Linked DNA regions of Saccharomyces cerevisiae S288C. The gene in region 1 interacts genetically with each later gene. Each region holds a gene or a part of one and is shown in the gene's direction. Other genes may lie near its edges.

The links.
Region 2: mutations in KEX1 (region 1) and DFP2 together harm fitness more than expected from each alone (negative genetic interaction), as found in Saccharomyces cerevisiae (2 studies listed by BioGRID).

Annotation. Positions count from the first base shown.
Region 1 is NC_001139.9:111,964-116,588, reverse strand, and holds KEX1 (serine-type carboxypeptidase), read left to right. Parts: upstream 1-1,924; coding exon 1,925-4,114; downstream 4,115-4,625. Other genes in the region: ARO8 (bifunctional 2-aminoadipate transaminase/aromatic-amino-acid:2-oxoglutarate transaminase), read right to left, coding at 1-530; YGL204C (uncharacterized protein), read left to right, coding at 4,584-4,625.
Region 2 is NC_001133.9:184,745-187,104, forward strand, and holds DFP2 (DUP240 family protein), read left to right. Parts: upstream 1-1,576; coding exon 1,577-1,801; downstream 1,802-2,360. Other genes in the region: KTD1 (DUP240 family protein), read left to right, coding at 148-852; pheromone-regulated DUP240 family protein PRM9, read left to right, coding at 2,092-2,360.

The DNA of each region.
Region 1 (4,625 bases):
CCTTGAGCCTCTGCAGAAGCCAATGAAGAGGAAAAAGAATGTGCCTCAACTAAGATGACATCACCTCGGTTACAAAAGACTCTTAAAGTAGATTCCCAGGCATTTGTGTTACCTGCAGTGGCTAAAACGTCCCAGTCCTTATACTTCAAATCGTGGATAATCTTGGTATGATCTCTAATGAAGTTTAATAGTTCAGGTTGACCAGCACTGAACCCGTATTGCAAAGCTCTTGACAAAGGAATATCGTTGGAAGGATTGGCACTTTTATCAGCGTAATCTTTGTTGACGGTGTATTTTATGCAATTCTGCTCGTCAATTGGAGCTCCAATACCCTGGGGAAAAGGAGGCTTGGGTGAATCTACAGATAGATTATCCCATGGGAAATAATCTTTTAATGGCAGGCCACCACCCAAAAAGATAATGTTAGGATCTTGGAAAAGATGGATGCAGGTTTTCAATGGGGATGGTTTACGAGCATTGGTTTCATCCGAAAACAAGTAAGAAAAGTCTTTTGATTCAGGTAAAGTCATGATAGTAACGATCGGTTGTCCTATTCAATGTCTGTATCAACTGCAGGGTTTAACTTAGTGGAATGGAAAAATAAGAAAAAGAAATAAGTTCTTAAAGATATAACCAAACCAAATATATAGTCTAGAGATGTGTATAGGAGGGTCTACAAGATAAGAAAAAAGATTGCGATACACATATCTTCAAATGAAATGCGCTTAATATTAGTCATAGATTGGACCTCGAGAAAGTGAAAAAGTGCAGAGTGAAAAATGTGATAAAAAAAGGAAAAAAAGACATCTAAGGTAACCCGGATGTTCTTCATTATTCCGGCGCAATTTAGTACTGTTCTTCTATCAATGGCAATTCAGAAGCCAGATTCTTGAATGAGGTGAAGGAGAACAATGGTTATAGGTTAATTAAGAGATTTTTGGATGGTGTATATGAGCCATGTTTAATCTTGGAAAAATAGTGAACCGGGAAAAAAATAAAGAAGAACTCCTCATAGGGGGCTCGAACCCCTGACATTTCGGTATCCTTGCTTAAGCAAATGCGCTTAAAAGCCGAACGCTCTACCAACTGAGCTAACAAGGATGAGTTCTTCGGATTTCTTCGATAATAGTTTTAGTTAAATATACATTATGTTCACATAATGCTATTATTTAATGCACATGTTAATGGACGGTAAACTACTTATCATTTATTGCAACAAATGAAAAGACACCACCCTAACAGCACGAAAAATGATGTTAATGTCTTGTATAGTATTGTCGGATAACTAACTCTCGTCTCAACAAAGCTTAAATAAGAGCTGAGAGATTGGTGAATTTTAAGATGATTGTAGGCATTTCATTGTTGATCAAGGCTACAATATTATGTATACAGAATATACTAAAAGTTCTCCTCGAGGGTAGAGGAATCCTCAAAGGGGAAGCGATATTTCTACATAATATTATTACGATTATTCCTCATTCCGTTTTATATGTTTCATTATCCTATTACATTATCAATCCTTGCACTTCAGCTTCCTCTAACTTCGATGACAGTTTCTCATACCTTATGTCATCGTCTAACACCGTATATGATAATATACTGGTAGTGTGACTACTAGTTTATAGACGATAGTTGATTTTTATTCCAACAGGATCATTTTGTTAGGTGAGGAATTGCGAGCTTTTTGGCTATAACTTTCAAGTTTTGTCACCAACATTTATATTTGCTTACTGCAGCCCGGAACCGAAAAACAATGTGGAAAAAGAAAAAAAAGTGGAATATTTTGATAATATAGGAAACATTAAGAAAAGCGATTTCTTATCATTGTCTTCAACTCCCATCTATTTGAAAAAGCTTGCTGAAGCATACTTTGGTTAAAGAGTACCTTGGCTATAGAATACCGTAGAGATAAAGACCTGAATAGATGTTTTACAATAGGTGGCTCGGAACGTGGCTAGCCATGTCTGCTTTAATAAGGATCTCAGTATCCCTTCCGTCATCTGAGGAGTACAAAGTGGCATATGAGCTGTTGCCAGGGTTATCTGAAGTGCCAGACCCTTCAAATATTCCACAGATGCATGCTGGCCATATTCCTTTACGTTCCGAAGATGCGGATGAACAGGATAGCTCTGACTTGGAGTACTTTTTTTGGAAGTTTACCAATAACGACTCTAATGGCAATGTCGACCGTCCCTTAATTATATGGTTAAATGGTGGACCCGGTTGCTCTTCCATGGATGGTGCCTTGGTCGAATCCGGCCCTTTTAGGGTGAATTCAGACGGTAAACTTTATCTAAATGAAGGGTCCTGGATATCCAAAGGCGATCTTTTATTTATCGACCAACCTACTGGTACTGGGTTTTCTGTCGAACAAAATAAAGACGAAGGTAAAATCGACAAAAACAAATTTGACGAAGACCTAGAAGATGTGACCAAGCATTTTATGGATTTTCTGGAGAACTATTTCAAGATTTTTCCAGAAGACCTCACTAGGAAAATCATACTATCGGGTGAAAGTTACGCTGGCCAATACATACCATTCTTTGCCAATGCAATTTTGAACCATAACAAATTTTCAAAGATCGACGGGGATACATACGACTTGAAGGCGCTATTGATTGGTAACGGTTGGATTGACCCCAATACACAGTCCCTATCGTACCTTCCGTTTGCTATGGAGAAGAAACTGATTGATGAAAGCAACCCCAATTTCAAACACTTAACGAACGCACACGAGAATTGCCAGAATCTGATAAACTCTGCCAGTACAGATGAGGCAGCCCATTTTTCGTATCAGGAATGTGAGAATATTTTAAACCTTCTATTGTCTTATACCAGGGAATCTTCGCAAAAGGGAACAGCGGATTGCTTGAACATGTATAACTTCAATTTAAAAGATAGTTATCCATCTTGTGGTATGAATTGGCCGAAAGATATTTCCTTTGTCAGTAAATTCTTCAGCACACCTGGTGTTATTGATTCGTTGCATCTTGATTCTGATAAAATTGATCATTGGAAGGAATGCACTAATAGCGTTGGAACTAAATTGTCTAATCCTATTTCAAAGCCATCTATCCATTTATTACCTGGTCTACTTGAAAGTGGAATAGAGATTGTCTTGTTCAATGGTGACAAAGACTTGATTTGTAATAACAAGGGCGTATTAGATACTATAGACAATCTAAAATGGGGTGGAATAAAGGGATTTAGCGACGATGCTGTTTCGTTCGATTGGATCCATAAATCGAAGAGTACAGACGACAGCGAAGAATTTAGCGGATACGTGAAGTATGATAGAAATTTGACGTTTGTTAGCGTTTATAATGCTTCTCACATGGTACCCTTCGATAAAAGTTTAGTGAGTAGAGGCATTGTCGATATTTACTCGAACGATGTTATGATCATTGACAACAATGGGAAAAATGTTATGATTACTACTGACGACGATAGTGATCAAGATGCTACTACTGAAAGCGGTGATAAGCCAAAAGAAAACCTCGAAGAGGAAGAACAGGAAGCGCAGAATGAGGAAGGAAAGGAAAAAGAAGGCAATAAAGATAAAGATGGCGATGATGATAACGACAATGATGACGACGATGAAGACGATCACAACTCCGAGGGCGACGACGATGATGACGATGACGATGATGAAGACGATAATAATGAAAAACAAAGTAATCAAGGCCTCGAGGATAGTAGACATAAATCTTCAGAATATGAACAAGAAGAGGAAGAGGTAGAAGAATTTGCAGAAGAGATTTCAATGTATAAACACAAAGCGGTAGTAGTTACCATCGTTACATTTTTGATAGTGGTTTTAGGAGTTTATGCGTATGATAGAAGAGTGAGGAGAAAAGCGCGTCACACAATTTTAGTTGATCCAAATAATAGACAACATGACAGTCCCAATAAGACAGTTTCATGGGCAGATGATCTGGAAAGCGGACTCGGGGCAGAAGATGATTTAGAACAAGATGAGCAGTTAGAAGGCGGAGCACCCATAAGTAGCACTTCTAACAAAGCAGGATCTAAATTGAAAACTAAGAAAAAGAAGAAGTATACTAGCCTTCCGAACACTGAAATCGATGAATCTTTTGAGATGACTGATTTTTAACTTGGCAAATAAAAATATATAAAAAATACAGAAAAATAGTTATAATACCTCGCACACGCTTTTCGTAGTAACAGCGACATAAAGATAAATTCTTTAAAGGGTACAATCCATCAAGAACTGACTGTTTTATTTAATTCACACTACTGAACTTCATATTAAAGTGTCGTCATTTAAGTCTAGTAGGTTATATTAATCGCGCACAATAGTTTTTTTTTATGCAAACTGTATCACGAATATTTTTTCAGTTTTCGGACCATTTTTTGACATTTTTAACCAGTTTTTAACATTTTTATGGTAGCGTTCTTTTATTTTTCACGTAATTGCATTGAAATAGACATAAACGTATAAAATAATATACAAGTAATTAGAGCTTTTGAACGAGATTGTTTAGTGGTTGTTTTAACTCCTTCACAGAAGTTGAAAACTTCAACGCATTCATAGCCCCACATATCAACACAAATCCCTGGAAATGAATGGAACTGATATCCTTCGTTTTTTGCAATCTTCCCCC
Region 2 (2,360 bases), on another chromosome or scaffold:
CCTTCGGGACGTTGCAACAATACGTGAAAAATGCCTCAAAAATAATAAATACAATGGTGAACAACGTTAAAAAAGCATAAAACAGCTGGCTATTTTGATCAGGATAACATCTATAAGTGCCATATTAAGGCAAGATATCAATTGACCATGCAAACACCTTCAGAAAATACCGACGTAAAGATGGATACTCTCGACGAACCCAGTGCACATTTAATCGAAGAGAATGTAGCTCTTCCCGAAGACACATTCAGTTCACATCTGAGTTATGTACTTTATGAAATTGCTCATTGTAAACCGATCATGTTTATGATCATCATAATCGTGAGTTTGATCTCATTGATTGTGCTTTTTCATGATAACGACGGGTGCACTGTGATCTTAGTGATGTCCCTTATAGTAGCCTCCATGGCTTTAATGGTGGTTGCAGCATTCACATTCGGGAAAGCGATCACTGAACAGGAGTTCATGATAAAGCTTTTAGTGGAGGTGATCGCACGCAAGCCTGCGGGGAAGGAATGGGGTACTGTCGCATATAATATGAACCAATATCTATTCATGAAGAGACTATGGTATACCCCGTACTATTTCTATAGCGGCAAGAAGTGCCATGAGTTCTTCACCACTCTTATCAAGGAAGTGAATTCTGGTTCGCACTCGGATTCCTCATCGAATAGTGCCGAGGATACACAATCACCTGTCTCAGCAGGGAAGACTTCAAATGGTCTAAACAACTTTTATAGTATTAGATCAGACCCTATTTTGATGGCATATGTTTTGAAGGCAACACAAATAGAAAAGGAGGCTCAAAGTGAATACTGGAGAAAGCAATATCCTGACGCTGATTTACCTTGAAGCGGAAGCATTTTATTCACCAAGTATACTTACTTTTCTTTAAAACGAGAACAAGAATCGAATTCAAGAACATCTCGAAGCCAGAATTGAGCATCATATATTCGAGCTGTACAAACATCATGGCCTACAACTATCGTATTTGTAAGTTTTTTTAGAGGTTTTCATATTTGTTTAATAAGGGTTCTGTCAGTTTTTGTCACATTCTATTGTTGCGCTTCGCATAATGCAGCCAAGAAAATCCAAACAATAGAAAAAGAAAAAAAGGATCTCAAAAAGGGTTTGGTGTTGTAGTTATAAGAATAACTAGTGAATAAAAAAGCTGTTGTTTGGTCCGTATTACATTCGTCAAAAATTTAGTACTCAAATCGTGTATGCAATCGCAACCACAAAATAAAAATATTAGACTGGATGTGTTGAGTGGAGATGGTGCCAATTTAGTTGAGGGAAATGTGGTCCTTCCCAAAGACATGTTCAATTCGTACTTAAGTTATTCACTTTACGTGTTACGAGGGGGCTCATTGTAAGCCGATAATGATTATGTTCCTGGCATCTGTAATTTTGATTTCACTGACTAATTTCCGAGTATACCATCTCATGTCCCTTCTATCCTCTTTTTTCATCTCCGGGACAGACCGACAATAAAGCATCTAATATTAGGCTTTCGTTAGAGGTAAGCACACGCCAGCGTTCGGTGAAAGGGGAATGAAACATTATCACGTACAAGATGAATAAATATCTATTTGACCATAAAATATGGAGTACTCCTTACTACTTTTATTGCGAAGAAGATTGCCACCGTCTTTTTCTAAGTTTTATTGAGGGAAGAACTTTCGAGAAGCCAACAAGCAACGCTGAGGAAAATGTACAGGAGACTGAAGCTGGCGAATCTTTCACATTAAATCCCGGAGAAGATTTTCAAAATTGCTTTCCAAGACAGCGGATATTGTAGAACAATCTCAAGTGAAGTATTGGCAAGATATTGGTGCAATTATTTGAAAGGAAGGAGAAATATTCTGACAGTACCTTGCTAGCAAAGGGATTTACCAATCCACTGACGCTAAAATGGGGTAGTAAATTAGATAAATTGCATTCTAACGTGACTTTATATAGTGGGAAACAGATATGTAGCACACAAAACGGCATGATTATGCTTAATTGATTCCTATTTTTTAACGTAAATACTCTCCCAGAACGATCAGAAAACTTAACCCGCAACCATCTTTGCTGTGCTAACAACTTATGTCGCCTCAATACCATTTTTATTTTGTATCATTCCGGAACTTAGTATTGAATGAAAAATGCCTCCGAAGTAAAAAGCAGGTGATGAAAAGTTTCAATTGGTATAAGACAGATCGCTATTTTGATCCGCATAACATCCTTCAACACCATAGCAGAGCTATAGAGAAGACAAGATATAAACTGGGCATGCAAACATCTTCAGAAAGTACCGACGCCAAGTCGGATTTTCTCGACGAACCCAGTGCATATTTAATTGAGAAAAATGTGGC